Caenorhabditis elegans: one gene and its partners. The protein of the gene in region 2 interacts with the protein of the main gene of each other region in a pairwise test. Each region holds a gene or a part of one and is shown on either strand. Other genes may lie near its edges. The genes, in order: tag-52, C34D10.1, T02C5.1 and cdr-6.

Region 1 (6,724 bases), 4.4 Mb from region 2:
TGGCGGTTTGATGTTCTTAATTTGTTGGGACTAAATTGGAAAATTGATTACTTTTTAAAAATTATCAAATACTTACCGAATTGGTGTCATTTGACCATGGAAAGAAGTCATATGCAAATTTGTTTGACGTCATATTCTGACAAAGGGAAGGTTAAAAAAATAATATTATTTCAAACTTACCGTTTTAGACGTCATGCTAACAACACAATGAGCAAAACAGGGGCAATGAAAGCTCAGAGCAATTGGATGTTTAATTTGAAGGAAACGACTTTATGACTTTTCAGGATGGGACATTACATGGAAAAGAGCTGTGCAATTAGCATGGAGCGTCGTTGGAAAACACGTCGTTAATTGTAGAATTGTAGCAGATCCTACCCTACCCGGTAATAAAGATTCCAGCGTCAAACAATTATATCTATTTGTTCATTGTAGGCTTCTGTTCTCTTTTCCAGCCTATCAATTTGCAGAACAAAATGCTTCTTGTGATTCATGACTCATTTCATCAAAAATTGTTGGTAGGTACCTGAAAACATGTTTCAAAAGAAGTATCAATAGCTGTTTATTGATAACATAGTGAACAGTCTGAACAGTTTCTGGGGAGAGATATTTCACGAAAACATAAATTTTTAAGGGAAAAATGGGGAGAAAATGTGTAGAAAAAATAGGAACGACACAATGCAGAGATCAACGATCATGAGATGAAAACATACAAATAGATGGACCAAAATAGCTGAAAATTTAAAAAAAAGAGGAAAAATTACATAATTGCGCAACTATTTCTGATTGAATCAATTATTGAAGACTTTTGATTTTTAATAGCCGGTGGTGCTGATTCGGTCTCCCACCACGGACGTGGACGCTCTCCTTTGACTTTGATATCAATGATGTCGTCCTCATCATCGTCCTCAGTGACCATGTTGAATGGCTCCAGAGAACGCTGAAAATCATTTTTTGTTAGCTTGTATTAGTTTTTCTAATTTATTGAGAAAGGGTCTAATGTAAAGGTTCCACCGGGCTTTTGAACTAGACATGTTTTATTTGAAATACCATAATTAGAAATTGTTAAATATGGATTTTAAGCAGGGAATTTTATAATTGAGTTTGCGATGAGTACTCGGCGTTTGCCGCCAGTTTCCTACCCAAGGCTTCGCAACTTCTTACCCAAGCCTTGCCCAAAAAATAAAAACATTTATAAGGAGTTGCCAAGGCTTGGGTAAACCTTGGGCAAGAGTTGGGCGCCTCATAAATAAAAAAAGTCGTGGACTGCCTCGTCGTCTCGAGGCGTCGCCCAAGTCTTACCCAAGTTTTGCCTATTTCTTACCCAATTTATACGTGTGTGTTGAACTTTGATCGCATTTCCTGTTGTTCCGAAGTCTTACCTGCTGAGCCATGATGGTCGCGCGAAAAGATGCACACTAATAATATATCGTACTCATATTCTGATAGATATTTTTGAGGAAGTATCAGACACATCGGATTAATACGGTATTCCCACATACCTTATTTCATTTGTTTTCAAGTGTGCTCCCTAATGATTCTAAGTACAGAATTTACAAAATTACTGTAATTCATGTTTGTTTCATGTCTTTCAATTTTATAAAAGTTTACATTTCAAAGGAACATTTTAGTCTTAGAAAAATTCAAAAGTTGATGCATTGGATTGACTGACTATTATTTGACTATTGGACTGACTAGGAGAAGAATCATCCTGAAGATAACTTTTCTTTTTATTTTTAGATAAATTATTCGGTTTATTAGACAGTCACAGGAAATAAAAGGCAAACTTTGTTCGTACATTTTTTAACAATGTTAGCCATCAGAGCAAAATATTTAGAATTTGACTTTGAAGGGACAAGTTTTCCTGTGAATTCTTTCAATTACATCGAAATTCCTCTATTTTAAATACAAATTACTCAAAAGACAAAGTGTCGATTTACGCTAAACATTGCGCATGCAGGATTTCGGAATCTTGTTTGTTCTTTACATCTGCAAACTTGGGTAAAAAGTTGGCAAGACTTGGCTAAGACTTGGGCAAAACTCGGGCGAGGGAGTTTACACTAGAATTGTTGAAGTTGGGTAAGACTTGGGCATACTCTGGGTTAGAAGTTGGCAAGAGTTGGGTAAGAAGCTGGAAAGCCCCAAACTTGGGGAAGAAGCTGCCGGGAATTGCCGAGTAAGAGCAGCAACATCGGAGCTCTGGGGATGTTCATGATGGTAAGTTACCATTGGTAACATGCAGATTTTTTTATTGGAAAAATCACCCTCGTAATTTAAAAAATATGTTTCGAGTTTCTGAAAATTGCATGCTTCTGGTGATCAAAATTCCAGATTTTGATAAAATTCAGACATCTTCCAAACTTTTTTTAAAGTCATGAAAGTTATATGAATTGGCAAATACCACCACCACACATGTCCTCGGAGCACCCACAATGCACCGCTTATTCCGAGCATATTTGCAAGCTCACCGCAAACTCAATTCTAAAATTTCGAAGTCTGAAATTTATATACAACAGAAAATCAGGTGGCACCTTCAGTCTCTTCCCTAGTTAACTCTTCAATCACCAACCTGTTGGTAGCTCAACTTGCGAATGTCGTCCACTGCAAGATGGCGACGTGGTGGTTCCGAAGCCACAGAGCGACGAACCTCGCTGAAATCGCGTGGGCGGCGATCCTCTTCATCATAACTAGCCACACGTCTGATTGGAATCTTCTTGTCGTCCGAAACAAACTCCTCGTCATCAGTCCAAACATAGTCCCGATCACTGTCGTAATCGTCATCAGTTGGTGTTCTCGACTTTGGAGTTCCCACAAAAGCATTAAGACCAGTGTACGGTTGTGTCATGGTGACATCATTGAGAACAAGATGGCTGAGGTAGTTGTTGCCGTCAGTTACATCTGCATTTTTATTTCTCAGAGTAGACGCTCCTGAAAATTCACGCATTGCTTTGAAAGCCTCGAAAAACTTGAAAAACTAAGCCTTGAAAAACTCACTACGTTTTCGAAAAGACGAACTTCTTGGGGAGGCTGTCCAACCAACGCCTGATGGAGTGTTCTCTTGCAGAGTGGCTTCTAAAAATCCAAATTAATCAAAATCTCAATATTTCTAACATACTCCGCTTCCGCTGAGATAGATTGGGAGAAGATAGCATGTTGAATACGTCTTCTTCTTCATCCTCCAAAGTAGCAACTTCTGAAAACAAATTAACAATTACCGGGTAACATATTCATAAACGTACTTCGCTTCCGTTGATTCGAAGCAATCGTGGAAGTTGTCCACTGTCCACGAAGAAAATCACTTTCCTCGAGCTTCGGAGCTGGCTTCTTTCTTGTCAACACACGACTGATGTTGCCCGTCATATCGGCAGTTATCATATTACGGAGCTTGTCTCGATTTCTCTGCCAGAATCCTTTGTCAAAGATGAGCGACTTTTGCTTGAAACTCTCTTTCCGCAGCGTATCACGAAGCTTCTTTGCGTTGTCAATAGCATCGCAAATCTCATTGTACCACTCCGTAACACCTCCGAGTGAGTAGGCTGTAAAGTCCACACCGACGTCTCCACAACGAATCTGAAATTTGAAGTTACCATTTTCGAGTCTTTAATAATAATATAACCACATACAAATATGCTCCCTCCTATATCATCAAGTTGGACAATGCAGTGACGGAGTGAGAGAATTGCAGACGGCTCGTATTTGCAGAGTGGCATCACACTGATTCTCTTGATTCCGTAAAGAAGAATATCATTGAACAGGAAGACCACGGTTTCCTGGTAGTTGGCTGATCCATTGAGCTCTCTCTGAAATTAACCAAATTAGGATTGATACTAAAATGTATATTACCTTGTACAACATTCCTTCCTTCAACAATACGCGTCCTGGCTCAAGAATGTGCCCATCCAGACCAAAATTCAGTTGGATTTGAAGGAGTCGTTCTCCATTTTCATAAGCTGTCATGCAGGATTGAATCTGATCGGAGAGCCCTTGCATACCCGACAACGCTTCTGAAAAAAGTAGCTATAAGAAAATCGTTCCAATAAATTCTTACTGTAAAGGTTTGTCATATCATCTTTCTCAGTGCTGTAATTCATCAAATTTTGAATGAGCATGATATAGCGTGGAATGCGTTGAATTGGCATGATGAGGTATGTCTGGAGTTTCTTTCCATCAACTCTGGGGTCTTCCTCAATTTTGGTCAGAGCTTTGCGGAAGTCGTTGCGAGACATCAGTTTCTGGAAAGTAAAAATAATAAGGTATCATAGATTTTATTGTTATAACTAACCGCAAAAATTTTCAGCGAATTTGGATAATGGGATGCATAACTGGTATAGAGTTTGAGGAACGGTACAAATTTGGTAAAGACCTCGGCGATCGGCTTGCACTGAAGGGATTCCAGAAGGATTTGATGAGTCTTGCAGATTGCTGATATCTCGCCGAACATGGATCGGAAGCATTTTTTTGATTTGGGGCACCACAAGTTAAGTTGTTGAATGAATATCTGGAAAAAAAGATTTTAAGAAGCTTTTAGAAGTTTTTGAGATACTTATGGCTATCAATTTAATAGATGCGTTTTATAAATCACGGTTCTCGGTAAGTCGTACCTGACAAATTTTTGTCATAGATTTTTCAGGTACCTCGGTTGCAAGTGTTCGAGCATCATTTCATGAGAATATCAAAAAGCGCAAACGCATGATTCCAAAAGCAACCGGCAATAGCAGCGAAACGCCAAAATTTTTGGTAACCGGCTACTGTCGGCTGCCAAACCGAATGTTACAAATTTCGGCAATTTTTAGGCAACCGGCATTCTGGTTTATATAATTAAATCCTGACCTCATCGACGATAGTGAGCGCTTTCACATAGGTTCTCTCGGTATCATAAATTTCTTGTAAAATCTGGATTTTCTCTGTCGGCTGATTAGCATACAGTGTACTCATGTCAAATGGCAAATAGCTGTTCATCTTATGTGTGAAATAATCAGTATTTTCATCGGGAGCCTTTTGCAAACTGCCTTGCGACGAGTCACTTTGGTACGTGTAGTAGTTGAATTCTTTGCCCGCGTTCATAGTCTGAAAAACAACAGAGTTAGATGAAAGGAAACATTTGATTTTAAATCGAAAAAAAAAGACATTGATAATGAAGAGAACTACCCGGTAAACAAGACTCTGCAAACAGAACACGGGATAAAGAGGGATAAAAATCAATAGATTGAGTAGAACGGCCGGCAGGTGTTCTCCCAAACGACCGCCACAACACCATCGCATTCAAATTCGCGGTGGCATCAGAGGAGCGCGTTTGCACACTCATCGCTATAGTGGGGGTTGGCCATGCATGTCCACATGATGCAAGGAAAAATGAGAAGAGTGAAGAAGGGGTGGGGGGGGGGGGGGCACTATGTGAGAACACGGAGGACAAGGACGTTTTTGCGCAAGACAAATGATCAAATGCCGTGCTGTATGTTGTTGGTAGATGCTACGTCATCTGGGAGTAGCAGAGTAGAAGGAAGAGATGCGTTTGTTGGGCAGTATCTAGATCAACAGGAAATGATAAATCAGTAGTGAAAATTTGGAGTCTTTAAAAACTGGAGTCAGATGATTTGATATGATAGGAAGAGCACATGGTCTCGAATTTCCCGACAATCACATGAGTGGAGTGGAAAATGGAATATTATCAGATGCTGGCGTTTCAAACAAGAGGACTGTACAAAACGTAGAAACTAGTGTGAACAAAGACCATTGTACAACAAATAAAATTGCGCGTTTTCCCGTCGTTTATAAAATAAAAAATAAGAAGCCATTAAATGAAACTACTAAATAAATATAAAATAATAAAATATATTTCTCCGTTTCGTCCTTAAGCTTGTCAAAGCTGTCTAAAAGCCCTCTCTAAACAGCATGTAAATTGAAAGAAATATACTGACATGAGATTTTCCATATTTTGTTGTGGAATAAAATGTAATTACATCAAACCACATGAGAAATAAAGTGATTTTCAGAGAAAAACACCAACAACAGCTGATGCCAAATATCAATATGTAAAATCTATTACTGAAAAATAGATAGTTCTCAGAAATTTTTAAAATACTATTTAGATTACACGTGATCAAAATAGGCAAAAAAACCAGATAATTTAAGAAAAGTCTTCATAATATTGTGGTTTTTTATAGATTTTTAGTCACCGTTTTAGGGAATCATTGAGGTTCCAGAAATTCAGTTTTTGTCAAGGATTAGAGCATTGGTGCATTTTTGGAACATAAATTTTTGAAACATAATCTTAGTAAAAAAAATTGTACAGAAGTTTTAGTCGAACATCGAGAATGTAATTAAACCAGTATGAAGATTTGTAAATAAATCTTTGAATTTTGGAAAGGCGACTCATAAACCTCAAAAAACTTCCAGCTCAGATTTTTTGTAGAAATATGTTTGTATTAAAGCAGGAAACACATTTTCAAAAGTTTTAGTCTTGGGTATTATTGGAACATATTTAAAATGCAAATTATGGAAAAAGTAAAGTGATTTTGCATGAGGCGGAAACAACCATTTCTAAGCCTTAAAAAAGGAAAAAAAAAAAGCAAAACACGATCAATTGAAATAGACCGAATTTGACAAATGAATGGAAATTTAATTTATTTCCAAAATGATAGTCTCATAGTCCACGAGGGCTTTCGAAATTAATTGAATATTTAAGTTTAGGGTACTTTTCATTTTCTACCCCGCATTTTAAAAGAAC
Region 2 (4,593 bases):
TTCATTATGAAATTCGGTGTTTTCAGACAATTCTGAGTCTCATAAAGCAATAAAACAATTCGACTACACCACCTTTAAGACACGCCTATGGAGTCACAATGACCGAATATCATGATAAAACATTCAAAAAAATTTCCCTGATTCTATATGATTTTTTGAAAATGGGGAAAATCTCAGTTTTCCCCCCATGCCTATTTAAATTTCCGCCATTTATTCGTTCGATGAAGCGCGCTTGCATTTTTTTCTTATTATTCCACTGATTTTCTTAATTTTTGATCGTTTGTAGTCGGAAAATGAAAGAAATTAACAAAGTAAATGGAAATTGTTAATTAAAAAGTAACTGATAATTCCTAAACCTGTGAAATTATCTGCTCAGAGGACGACAAGCCTGCAATTAGTATTTTAACAGTTTTACACCCTATCAATGACTATTTAACAAACATTTGGCATTTATTTTGTTAATTTCTTCCATTTTCCTAATAAAAACGCCAAAAAATTAAGACAATCAGTGAAATAATGAAAAATAAAATGAAATAAAAAATAAGAATAATGCAAGCGCGCTCCATCGAACGAATAAATTAACGGAAACTTAAATAGGAATTAGGGGAAAACTGAGATTTTTCCAATTTTCAAAAAATCATATAAAATCAGGGACATTTTTTTGAATTTTTTTAATCATGATATTCGGTGACCCCAAATGCGTGTTTTAAAGCAATTTCCCCACAAAGTGTAGTCCACCTTTAAGAAAAACGTGAAAATGATTTGTATTTTTAAGCGTAGAAAGACTCTAATCCTTAGCCTAATAGAGACAAACCTATTAATTTTAATTTTAATGATTTACAGTAATTTATTTCACAGCTCAGAAAAAATGAATTTGCCCAAAAAATTCACCTTTGTCTGTTTCCTTTAGTTTATTACCAATTGAATTAAATGTATTCCCTTTCTTATTTTCTGAGTTGTTTGGGCTGATTGAACTTATTCAAAACTGAATTTCCACTGGTAATTTTTTTTTCCAAACTGTTGATAATTTCACTTTTGTTCAAATTATTATTTTGCAAGATGTTTATTCCTAATCGGTTAATGTCTTGCTATGAAAAATGCTGATTGATAGTTTTGAAAATACTCCGATAAGCATTTTTTCATGAAAGTTCATGACAATGAGAATTAACTTATTTTTCAACTGACAGTTGGATCCTTGTAAAATTTTTCAAATTTTTTTTATTGTTCCGGTGATTTTTTATAAGTTTGCCATTGTTAAAGTTCACATACATTTTTGCTTGTATTGATTCTATTTTTTGTTTTTACATAAATCAATTGTTGTCGGGGATTACTAGACAACATCATTGCAAGACACCACCTTCTATTCTCACTTCACGATGGGAATTGGCTCACTTCTCATTGTCTCTTTCTCCTTTGCTCTCCTTTTTTTTAGCATTTGTTTCCATTTGCAGTGCATTGAAAACGCTGTTCAATTTATAAAGACGTGTTACGATGCTATTATAATTAGGATATGGATTATAAACTTTGTTTAGTTTTGTTAATAAATTTTAAGCTCTTTAGAAAAATGAGACAATATTAAGTTCAAATAATGCTTTGTTTTTTAGAACGTTAACTGTTAATTGAACATAAAACCATTGTTTTGTTACCAAAAAGTCAACGTTTTCTTTTCCGAATCCCAAAACGCGCCAGCAATTGTTTGACCCGCTTCCCGTTGAAGAGTGTTTACACTGGCTAGACGGGTCGATATGGAGGCCGCGGACGCTACTCATTTTCTCCCGTGATCACGTTGCCTTCTTTTCTCCTCTATCGCGTCATCTGCTAATAGAAACTGGTCGGACTCTTGCGCAGCAACCTTGGTCTATGATTATTCCCCTTAGCCTTACAGTTTTTTTTTTCAAATATAACTTTAAAAATTTAAAATTTTGTTTTACAGATTTTATCTCAACAAAACATATGTCAGGAGCAGATGAGGACGCATTGCCCGTTTTTGTCAACACAACAGAAGTGAGTTTTTCAAAAAATATAAAACGCTAATACTTATTAAATTTATAAGATTGTCAAAAAAACAAATTTTCTATTTTTCCAATATATCTTTATTAGTCTTGTATGCAAGACTAATTGCAATGTTTGCGGTTCTCGAGCTACACTATTAAAAATCAATAATCTAAAAAGGATATGGCTGCTTATTTTATTTTTTGATTTATACAATTCTTCTGGAAATAATTGAACTCGCTTTTTTTTAATTTAAAAAGCAATGTAGAGAATTTTGAAAAAAAAACTACAAAAAAGAAAATTAATAGAGTCGAAATGAAACACCTTTTAAAATAATGAACGACTATATAATTAAGGATTTTTTAAATTTTTTGTGGTTTTCAAACAATTTAATGATAATAAAAACAACCAAATCTCGTTTTAAAAGCATTTTATTGCAGTTACAATTCCGGCTCAACGAGAAATCACAGGCAAAGCTGTTCACATTGTACAACCCATTTGGTCATGTGATAACTTATAAAAGTAAGGAAAAATCTTTTCATCCGCTCGAAAATTTGACTTTTTCAGTTTTGTGCACTGCCACTAGGAACTATACTGTAAATGAAACTACCGGTGTCCTCCAAGCAAAATGTTGTCAAGATATGTAAGTTTGCAAAACTTTTGTGAATGTATATACCGTATATTCTCTATTAGTGCTGCAACTTCCAGTAGTACTGCAGTCTCTAATAGTTCTGCGATCAAAGAGGTCCTAGAAATTAGTGTTGCATGCAGCACTAATAGAGAATATACGGTATAGTAATCAAAATTGTGAAACAGTATTTAAGAAAATAAATTCCAGCATTGATTTTTATCCCACAAAATTTTCAGAGTTGTCCGATGTATCCAGCGTCTCCCAGTTGGCAACGTCGACAAGTTGAAAATTGAGATTAGCAAAAAAGGATCGCCGACGGTAAATCTCAAAATTTAATTTCAAATTAAACAAAAACTATTCAGGCGAGTGGATCCTGCGTTCTCACGTTACTCACCGTGTCCTCCGAGCACACAAATCCCGATGAACCCCGTTTTGAAAAAGTCCAGCAATCAAACAGAATGAGCAGTTCTACAACAAGCGAAAGAGGAAACGATAGGGTAAGGTTTTCATTTGAAAAATAAATTTTATTATAGAAAAATAGCACGTGAATGTAATGTAATGTAAAATTGAAACAACTAGTAGCTAGAAAATTTCATTTTAAATATATCAGTCTGTATTTTCAATATTGGTTTACGTGACGTTTACAAGAAAATATAAAGGACAAAATATCTTTCAACTTTATGAATGCAAAATTTATGAAAATTGAAACAGCAATAAGCTGTTCCTCAAAGTAGGAGAAAAGGAACCGTTTGCAAACCCGGACGCGGTTTTCTGGTAGCTCATTTTCGAATAATTTTTTTCGTTGTTATCTGTTACGACCTTATATTCTGTTACGACCTTATATTCACTAAGCGATCATCCGGGCGCCACAACCATTTCCAAATTAAATGTTTCAAAGATTAAATAAAATCCTCAACACTCAACATTTTCAGAACCAATCAAGCATGTGGGCTTGTCTCATCGTTGGCCTGTGTTGTGCTGTCGCACTCGTCTGTCCAACCGCCGGTGATATTGAATCAAAATCTTCATCCGTTCCCCCAATGCTCCACATGTCCTTTCAACAGAAGCTAGTCGCTTCTTATATTCTCGGCATTGTCTCTGTATTAATTCTCCGTCCCATGTAAAGCTATCTAATGTCATTCAATCACTGGTCTAACTTCCTTCCCGAATCGAGTCACTTGTTCTCCTGTCTTCAAAAAATGTGTTCTTCTCTCATCTACTGGCATTATTTGTGCCTGTTTCTTTTTCAATACATGGTAGTCATTTTGTGGCTATTACTGTAAATTGTTTGCAAATCAAGCAATCATTCTTATTGTACATTCTTGTAGGAACAATCATGAAATACGCACTTTTTGATAATATCTGTATGTATATGACTTCTCTACCTCTTTTTGTTTTTAAATTATCGGTAATTGCAATTGAGACAAAGCAATCGAAAATTATGGTAGATATTGTTTTGTATTACACTTACCAAACACAAAAATATTGGGAATTGAAAATGCCAAGCAGGTAGTTTTTACGAGGTTATTCATTTTCGTCGAATAGTTTTTTTTTTCCATTTTTTTGATAATTCCATTTTTGCCAATTCATATTCTAAAAAGACCGCATCAAAATGTATACAGCTGACTGAAAAGTGACAAAAAAATCTACTTTGAAACGCATTGAAACTAAATACTAAACATGAATTTGTCGCCGTGTAAATGATATAAATACAAATTACTTGAAGAATCTATCGCGCATGCAATGAAAATTGTATTCTTCTTATTATTTTTAAAACATTTTTGCGCAAGACAAAACAGTAAATAAAAATATAGTATCGTTAAATTTTTTACTAAATTTTTAATACTTTTTTGAGAACAAAATCTACACAAAAAAAAATCAAAAATCAAATTCAATTAAAGTATTTTTCTTCCCATTTTTTAATTTCATAATTTGTGACACAGTTTTCTGAAATTAAAATTAATAAGTTC
Region 3 (5,880 bases), 5.3 Mb from region 2:
GGTCAGGGAGGCAAAAAATGTAACTTTCTTTGGAAAAATATGCATATCCTACAAAGTATAAACATGCCAAAATTCGCAATATTTCGTATACTTCCTAACTTACATACTTGCTCCATAACATATTCTTTGAGCCCAACTCTCTCAATGTTGTTCAATTTAATGTTTGATGGAAACATGTTCCATAATGCACTGATAAGACAACAACTACCGTGTTGTCAAAAACAAACTGTTTTAGGTTTAATCGGAAAACGATTGAGACCGTCGTCTTGATGGAATATTATGAAATCACTGTCAACAGAACAAGTGACCAAAAAATGTTGTAAAAAGCACAGATGGACATGAGAACGCACAGTTTTTATTCAGACACCGCCTTACAGATGCGAGAGCAACCAGAGCAGTTGATGGGCACACAGGCACGACGATTAGTGGGCAGCCGCCCGTACTCTCTGTCTTTTGACTGCATCTGGGCAGTTGTCTAGATATCGATACAATTTTGACCCAACAACACAGTAAAATTTTGGTCAATATTTGCTTTTTATCATAACTTCCCTCCTGTCATTTTTGATTGTTTTGTGAGTGAGAGTATGCAAATGGTGAGATGCAACTTTTGCCAATGGACTAGTCACAAGACTAAATAAAATAGAAAACTAGTCGCAATAAATTATTAGAGTGAGAAATAAGTTTTGTGGTATGTTTTTTTTGTGTCTCAAATAATATAAATTTTTCAAACGTTTGTACCTAACTTTTTTAAAATTCAATTTTCAATATAAATTGAATATGTTTGAATTCAAAAATATATAAGTCCTTGATTTATTCTGGTAAAGTTTACTAGATTCACTCCGTGCATTTTTATTCTTCAAATATTTGATTAGGCTGGATCAAGGATTTTGATTGTCAAACACTGAACCAGCTTTTGGATACAATTTTGCAGTATTGATCAATATTATCATTTCTCTTATGAAATATTTGTTTTCCAGCATACGAAAATGTGTGATATTTTTATTAGTCATGGTATATATTCATGTGACTGCAGTTAAAATGATACAAATGTTCTAAAAGCCGGAAATATTCTGTACTTTTGATAGCTCGTAAATCTCGTTTCAACGCTCATTTGTGAAAAATGCGACCTACAGTACTTTTGGTAGCGGCGTGTAAACTTAATAAATTTTAACATTCACGATTGTGCACTCTCTCAACTCTCATAGAAGTAATTGGAGATTCTGATTTTTTTTCCAAAGTGCAACGTACCACAGTTCTTCTCCAAAACTTTTCCTATTTCTCAACTTGTATATTTTTTCGCAATCGAACTTACTCACAGATTTTCAATACTTCATCTACAATATTTTTGTTAATAAATTCTGAAAATCGGAACATACTGCATTGCTCTGGATTTCCTTTAAAGCTCACGGTTTGAAAATTTTGGAATTCGCCAAACGTTTGACTCAAACTTTCCAAAATTGTTTGGAGTGTTTTATTTGGTCATTTTATTATTATTATTGGTGTATTTAAACAAAATTCCTACATGCAAATTTCGAAAAAATATTTTTGTTAGTTTCAATTATAAATGTTGTATATTTATCATAATTAGGAGACAAGAGCAAGATCACTTTCCAAGTGATAAAATTTTTTTTTTGAATTTTCAAGAAAATTTTCATCAACTATGTTTTCGAATTTGTTTTAATGGAGAATGTCATCTTTTTAAATAGTTAATAATTTTTTTCACAAAACAAATCCGCGTGTTTTTGGAAACTTGAGCAGAAACTTTTTCTATTTGTGCTTCAATGGTTATTTGTCTTCACTTTTAATAAACTATCAATTGCCATGTTTTCATATTTTTAATTTTCCACCTCATAACTCACCTCCCTCGCAACTCAGAAAATTAACATTGGCTTCCAAAGTTCACCACCTTTTTTTCTCTAACCACACCATACAAATAGAACTGTTATCAATCTGAAATTATTTAAAAAGACGTCGCTGAGATAAGAGCGTCAGTCCTTTACACGCGGCACGCAATGAGAGGAGCACTGCAGTTACTACTTTTTGTTGGTACAGTCACTCTGGTGAGACCTATTGTACACTTTGAAAATATTCTAGTTAAATTTTTATTCAGGTGGCCAGCAAGCTACATGAGTCCCCTTACGTTACCGAATGCTTTGATGTATGTTTAAATTGTTTTTTTGTAAGTTCTCAATTTGTTTTAGGGGCACTACAACTTCAGAGGCGTCTGCTTCCAATGCACTCCATGTGGTGACTTCATGTACGAGCTGTAAGTAATTTTTTGTTGATATTTTTTATGCCAAATTCATTCAAAAATTACGGGACACTGTCTCATCGTGGAATCTGTAATAAAAAGTCTGTAAACTGCCAGATTTAGCGGTTAGATCTTTAGATACTTGAAAAACCAATTCCTTATGAAATTGTAAAACATAAAACAATCTGACAGCCCGTGTATTCAAACGGTCTTGTCATTTAGCATTGATGTCAGAATACTGATAACTGTGAAGAGCATGTCATGCACACCTCGGTGTCATATGGTGTCGTGAAAACTTAGTGCTATTGAGTAACAAGGTGATTGATAAGAATAAACAGTACTTCAGTTTGAAAACAGAAATTTGATAGCAATCAATTTTCCGGGCATTTGTTTATTCAAACTTGTGACTAGCAAAACATTGAACATAGTGAGTTCAACTCACCATGGGTTTTCAAATTAACTCGGCATTTGGAGCATGGGTGTGCGGCAAATATGCCAAATTTGCCCAGCACAGCAAAACTCGAAAATGCAGATTTGCCGAATTTGCCGAGATTGGCAAATTTTGAAATTTACACATCAGTAGGAATGTTTTTCAGAAAATGGGTTTTTAAAAAATTTATTTAGGTACCTTAACTTCAAAATACCCGTTTATAAGGTTCAATTAATTTTCTAATATGAAAGTTTATGAGTTTCAAAATCTGCATGCAACCGTTGTAGAACATTATCATGCAAAAATTTAGTCAGGGGTCAAGCTTGATAAACAATATTTATTTTCAGTTTCTTATGACGTCATATATATATATATTAAACATATTTTATTATCTCGTACGGAAAACTCGCATTTCGTCGAAAATTTCCCTTTTGTGAAAAACTATTAAAGTTTTTAGAGCAAAATGCACGGATACTTCAAACACAGTTTGTGGATGGTGTGGAAACAAACCAAACTTGGACAAAATTTCTGATGAGTATGTCATAAAATGAGGCTGATTCTATTACAAAGTTAGCCCATGTTTCAGAGTGCTTGTCTCTTACCAAACCAAGTGTCTTATGTCTAGCCTAGATTTCATCGGGATGACCAAACTGAAAGACGAGCTTGTCAATGTTTTTGATGATGAAAAGGATAGTGAGGAGGTAGAAGAGTTACCAATTAAAGATAATTTCATCAAAGGTGAAAATCTTGAGATGATTGATTCAAATGAGATCAACTACGATATGGCGAGAAACAGTTTAGAAGATGTGTACGATAGTCAAGAGCACCAGCTACCAGACCCGACTTATGAAGAAGGAGATGATTCAAGTTCTTCGGAAGAAATTGGCGAAGAGGAGAAGACTGATGAAAATGAGATTGGAAGCGAAATTGTTTCGGAAAAAGTCAAAGCTTACATGATTGAAAAAAGTGAAAAAGTTCCGTCTTCTGTTAAAATTGCGAAAGGAAAAACTACAATTGTTTCTCATGAGGTAGGTGGAAAACAACAAAACAATAAAGTTAGCATATTTAAATTGTGCTATGCACTGCGGATCTGGAAGTCAGGAACACTGCCTGGTAGTGCTCTCACTGGGATATAAGGGTGAGGCCGGACTTGAACTCGTGGCCTCCAGATTGCTAGCGACCACCACTACCAACTGAGCTATCCCGCTTCTGAAATATGTCGGAGCAAATCATTGAAATAAGAAATTGAAAAGTTTTGTATACTCAAAAAAATTTTGAAGACTTTTTGACGACCCAATTTTCTTGAACTAACTTTTTTCTTTTTGTTTTTGTTGATTTTCTAAGTGTTTAATTTAAGCAAAATTCGCACACAATTGAGAAGATGCCAGAAAAAGTGGCTCCGAGTTAAAACCGTTGGGGTGGTTAAACATTTTTGAAACTGCCGTCATAAATTCCCTCACTTTTAGTATCATCTATAATCTACAAAAAAATTATTGTGTGAAGCTAACTTTTTGATGTAAACTTGGGATATCTCGCTCTTATGTTTTGAAATTGACCATGAAAATTGAGTGCCCAATTTTTAAATTTTCAGAACTAAATTCATCATTTTAATTTCAGGAAGCCGAGGCCACATTCCGAGAGATTGAAGCCCTACCAAACCCTGTGCGCAAAATCAACCAAGACGATTATGACTCCTCTGAAGAGTCAAACGAGCGTGAAATCAAGTGGGACAATTGGGTTGATGATCAAGTGAAACCAATCAGAACGGTATGTCTGCAAATCTACCCGGATTTCTGAAATTTTTTTGAAATACAGAACGTCGAAGTTGTCGAAGCCGAGGAGATTGAGGAATTTGACCAGCTCATCGCGTAAGTCAATGTTTCAATGATTTTTATTTGAGAAATTTCCATTTTTCAGAAAGTCGCTCAAAAATAGAAGAAAGATCTTGAATGATGAGACAGAAAGCTCACCACTATTCATTAAAAACTTGGGTTCAGTCTTTGTCATCTGTATGGGAATGATCATTGTTGTGTAAGTAAGCTAGATCACGTGGATTCAGAATGTCATATTTCGATTTGATCTTCAAAAAATGCGGGAGTTGAGACGCAGACATCTCATCTGATTTCGCATGGTGCTAACGTCTCAATTTTTCTGGAAAAAAACTTCCCGCCTTTTTTTGTAGATCAAACTATAAATCAACACGTCTCAGATTCTAACTTTTGAACTGTAAAATCTATGGTTTGTTTTTCCAGCACTATTCTCTCTATCACATATGCTTTGATGCGTGCGGAAAGAAAGGAATTCTTGGGCGTCCCCACCGACTCGCAGGACTATCATAGTAGGGATTTCAAAAGAGTTACAAAAAAATCTAATGTACAAAGTTTATTCCAGTGATCATTGATTCCAGCAATTATATCGAGAAGCTTGAAAGCAAGGAAAAACAGGCCAGCCGTCACGTTCATGTCAACCCAGTTTTCGATGTTTGATTAATTTTATCTTCTCCGTGAGAATTATGAGAATTATCTGTTTGTATATTTAATCTTCTTTATTTTTTTATTTTTGTATTTTTTAAATGTGCATCCGCATTTTCCATTTCATTTCTTTTTACGTTCTGAAATAGTAAATTTAAAATTTATGGGAAGAATGTATCTTTGATAAAACCTTTATTCCATTTCAAAAAAAAATGTCGGGGTAAAACACCAAAAAGGGAAATGGGTGATAACACCGCCTGAGGCCACGAAATTTAAGTGGAGGGAAATGAGAGGTGATAGAGATAGCATATAATACCCGAAGTTGCATGAATGGCTGACAATGCTCGAAGAAAAAATCAAACAAGGGATGGTTCTAGAAGGGAAAGTGAAAAATGAAAAAGAAAGAAAAAACGCAGAAAGGTACATTTGTAATTAAAATTTCAAATATGGCCATTAAAACTTTTTCAATACGGTTTTTAAAAAACAGGTAACACGGAGGATAGTGGATGTACACATAGATTAGCTAGACGACAGACTGAACAGAAGCAGTGCCCCTATGCGGTCTACTATTAACAGAGCTGATTGATACGGTACTTGATGGCTGTGCTGCGAAGCCTCTTTTGAGTTCGAGCTCTGCATAGTTCACACCCTCGTGGAATGCAGCGACCGTTGTCCGTTTCTTCTGAAGTGATGATGAGAAAAAAAACAAAGAAATGAATGAAAGAAGT
Region 4 (3,275 bases), on a different chromosome or scaffold from region 2:
TTTATAAACAGCATAAATAGCAGCAGCAGAAGCAAAAATCAGTTTAGAGTGGGCACAAATAGACATTTTCAACCCTTGATACATGATTTGAATGTAGACGGAGGTGTCCTTTTCCTCTTTTTTGCCCTTCTCGTTATCTTATCTCTCGATCTTTTTTACACAAGTGTTAAATTAATGTCTTTCAATAGAGATCAAGAGGTCAAAATAACCGAAGAGATCAAGAAAACATTATTTCAGATCAAAGCTATTTAGGTATATATTTTGAAACAGATTTACGAGCTTTGAGCATTTTTGAGGTTAGCTGATATAACTATTAGAATGGAATGAAGTTTTCGAATTTCAACTAAAAATAGCTTCAAAACAAAAACTATTATTTGGGTCAGTGTATATCTTTAAAGATATGCAATTCGTATATACGCCTAAGCAATTGCTGAGCAAAATAATGCCATTCTCAAATTTTTTCTGACTTTATGTGAAGCCTCTTGTTATAAGTTGATTGTTTTATCGTTATCAAAGCTTTTGAAGATACAAATACTTATTGTTATAGACACTTTTATTTGGCTAAAGAAAAGGTAAGACAAGAAAAATTAACTAAAAATTGAAGTTAGATGGTGAAATCATTGGGGTACACTTCCTTGCGAACACTTTCGCAGTACTCAAGAATTTTTGGGAAATCCTTTTCCAGCACGTCGTTGATATGCGAACGAAGTGGGTAATACACGGATGCCAATTGTCCAAATACGGTTGCATCAGTCTAGAAAATTCCCAGGTAAAAAGGATACAACTATAAATTAACAAACCGGTGTGATCTTGTCTCCGAAAAGGAATTTCCCTTTGATAGAGTCTTGAATTACTTTGAGATCTCTATGAAGAAGCTCATCAAGCTCATGTGGCTCAAAATCTCCAATTGCCCCAACACAACGACTATAAACTTTGCTTCCAAACACAGCTTTGACCAGAGGAACCAATACGGCGTTGAATGCTGATGGTAAACCGAGAAGCCCGACAATGATCTCGTAAAACATGTCAACTGAGCTCTTGTAGCGGAGAAGTACACTGTAAAAAATGATTTCGAACTTATAAATTTCAATGAGATAATGAATTTTCTTCTGTTTCTAATCATCTTCAGAATTTAAATGTAAATACCTACTAGAAAAGATGATTATCTGCCATTCTGCTCAAAGCAACTGACTGCGCTTCTTGTTCGGTTGGGAGGCTCTGAAATATATATTTTTGCAAAATTAATTTTGAAAACATCTCGAATTACTTACTGGAATCTTAAAATGTTGTCTCAGGCGAATCTCAATGAGATCAGAGTCTGCAATGTGTTCCCCATTGAGCTCGATAAAAGGTAAAGTTCCATTTCTCGATCGAGCCATTGAACTCTCCACAATCTGAAATTTAAATTCAAAATTTGTTCAGCAAAAAAAGAAATAAACCTCATAAGGAATATTGTAGACTCTGCAAAGAATCTCAATTTTCATGCAGAATGGTGAAAGATTTGGGCAGTTTTTCAGTCTTTTGAATTGGTAAAGATAAACAGTATCTTTCTTGTAGTCGGTTTTGTGAATCTAAAAATATTTGTTCGTAAATTAAAAATTTTCAAAAAAAAAAAAGAAACTAACCGCCGGCTTTGGTTTAATTGTTGGTGGCGTGAAGAATTTCTTGTAAATGAAAAAAGCGATTGCACCAACCACTAGGGTTGTTGTCACTGGACAGCAACACACCATTCTGGAAAATAATTTTTCACGTTCAAAAGTAGAAAAAAATCAATAAATATAAGAGTTGCTATTATTTTACAAATTAAGACGTTAGTTGCGTTAATTAGAACTCAAAACTGACGAAAAAAAAAGGTAAGAAGAAATGAGTATCGACTCTATTTAATACTGCCATCTTGCAATGAGGGTAGAGTCTAGCCAGTGAACGTGTGTTTTGAGAGACATTAGACGGTTAGACACAATGTATTTTGTGGAAAAGAATATTGTCATGTTTGCTATCTTTACAATGTCTAAACAACTTGGAAAATAGATTTTATAGCGGACTTTGAAAAGTTTGAGTATTCGTTGAGCCACTTTTCATTTTATATTAAATTTTAAAGGAGAAACAGAAAAAGAAGGTAAAGGTATGTGGTTTGTAGTGAAGTTTGTGCTTAGTTTGGTTTAATTATCATTAGTTGATTTTTTGGTCAACCAACATCACTTCATTTGTTTTTCAATATTCGTACAAAAAACTATTATTTTGAGGAAATATAAGTTAAAGTTTGAACATTTTAGTTTTTTATTCTGTTGGTTTGCACTTTTACCTTTGCTTTCACAACAACTAGATAGCTTTTAAGATGCTGTTTTGTGAATTTCTCCGTATTTCTTCTACAAAGTTTTTGAATTCTAAAAATTATGCTAAAACCTGAAAAAATGTTTTAAGTAGCCAAGATATGCGGGAAAACTTCGAGAATTTCCAAATTTCTTTGCATACTTTAGAAAATTGAAAATTTGGACAAAAGCGAATAGTTTGCTTTGATAATTCCATAAGAAACATTTAAATTGTTGAAGATAATCTTTGATTTTTCAATCTTTGCCATCCACACTTGTTTGAGTAAACAATAGTGGAAATGATGACAAGGTTTCTTATCAATTTCAAAAATGGAAGAAGAAAATATATCACTTTTGGAGTTGCCTCCTCATTTGAAAATGAACATTTATTTTCATAAAACAAAAATTAAATTGTAAAATCATTTGGATATATTTCCTGACGAACTCGTTCACAATATTCCAGAATTTTTGGGAAATCATTTTCAAGGGCATCGTTGATACTGCACCGGAATGGATAAATCACCGACGCAATTTGACCAAATACAGCTGCATCTGCCTGAAATTTTATGAGATAAAAAATTGGGTTCTAATTGATTTCACAAACCGCTGTAACTTTATCTCCGAACAAAAACTTTTGATCTCCCAAATAATCTTGAATTGTTTGGAAATCTCTATGAAGAATATCATCCATTTCTTTTAATTCAAAATCTCCAATTGATCCTGTCGATCTCTGATAGACTTTCTTTCCAAATGAGGCTCGAATAAGTGGAAAGAGAAGTGGCTGAAGGAATTTTGGAATACCAATGCTTCTGACAAGAATATGGAAAAATTCATCTCCTATTATTTTGTAACGGATAAGCAAACTGTAACAAAAACCATTAAAAATCAGAGTATTTGAATAACTCACTTGAACAAATGATTATCTGCAAGTCTTGTCAAGGCTACAGAATGTGCTTCTTGAGCAGC

Evidence for each region.
Region 1: the proteins of C34D10.1 (region 2) and tag-52 interact in a two-hybrid assay, tested with the Caenorhabditis elegans proteins (one large-scale study listed by BioGRID).
Region 3: the proteins of C34D10.1 (region 2) and T02C5.1 interact in a two-hybrid assay, tested with the Caenorhabditis elegans proteins (one large-scale study listed by BioGRID).
Region 4: the proteins of C34D10.1 (region 2) and cdr-6 interact in a two-hybrid assay, tested with the Caenorhabditis elegans proteins (one large-scale study listed by BioGRID).

The regions. Positions count from the first base shown.
Region 1 is NC_003284.9:3,673,494-3,680,217, forward strand, and holds tag-52 (Putative protein tag-52), read right to left. Parts: upstream 5,065-6,724; 5' UTR 5,062-5,064; coding exon 4,828-5,061; intron 4,496-4,827; coding exon 4,280-4,495; intron 4,230-4,279; coding exon 4,046-4,229; intron 4,002-4,045; coding exon 3,841-4,001; intron 3,798-3,840; coding exon 3,621-3,797; intron 3,568-3,620; coding exon 3,237-3,567; intron 3,191-3,236; coding exon 3,113-3,190; intron 3,070-3,112; coding exon 2,992-3,069; intron 2,926-2,991; coding exon 2,567-2,925; intron 938-2,566; coding exon 758-937; 3' UTR 548-757; downstream 1-547. Other genes in the region: Homeobox protein ceh-63, read right to left, coding at 1-30, 77-136, 181-195.
Region 2 is NC_003284.9:8,027,546-8,032,138, forward strand, and holds C34D10.1 (MSP domain-containing protein), read left to right. Parts: upstream 1-1,933; 5' UTR 1,934-1,953; coding exon 1,954-2,004; intron 2,005-2,432; coding exon 2,433-2,514; intron 2,515-2,559; coding exon 2,560-2,635; intron 2,636-2,859; coding exon 2,860-2,941; intron 2,942-2,985; coding exon 2,986-3,120; intron 3,121-3,555; coding exon 3,556-3,747; 3' UTR 3,748-4,069; downstream 4,070-4,593.
Region 3 is NC_003284.9:2,692,923-2,698,802, forward strand, and holds T02C5.1 (TNFR-Cys domain-containing protein), read left to right. Parts: upstream 1-2,000; 5' UTR 2,001-2,012; coding exon 2,013-2,060; intron 2,061-2,110; coding exon 2,111-2,158; intron 2,159-2,201; coding exon 2,202-2,266; intron 2,267-3,138; coding exon 3,139-3,216; intron 3,217-3,267; coding exon 3,268-3,709; intron 3,710-4,298; coding exon 4,299-4,448; intron 4,449-4,496; coding exon 4,497-4,549; intron 4,550-4,598; coding exon 4,599-4,712; intron 4,713-4,933; coding exon 4,934-5,019; intron 5,020-5,072; coding exon 5,073-5,167; 3' UTR 5,168-5,351; downstream 5,352-5,880. Other genes in the region: igcm-3 (Ig-like domain-containing protein), read right to left, coding at 5,676-5,834.
Region 4 is NC_003283.11:12,411,969-12,415,243, forward strand, and holds cdr-6 (CaDmium Responsive), read right to left. Parts: upstream 1,734-3,275; 5' UTR 1,731-1,733; coding exon 1,626-1,730; intron 1,572-1,625; coding exon 1,440-1,571; intron 1,395-1,439; coding exon 1,272-1,394; intron 1,219-1,271; coding exon 1,151-1,218; intron 1,057-1,150; coding exon 801-1,056; intron 755-800; coding exon 605-754; 3' UTR 519-604; downstream 1-518. Other genes in the region: cdr-7 (CaDmium Responsive), read right to left, coding at 1-66; cdr-2 (CaDmium Responsive), read right to left, coding at 2,716-2,865, 2,914-3,172, 3,217-3,275.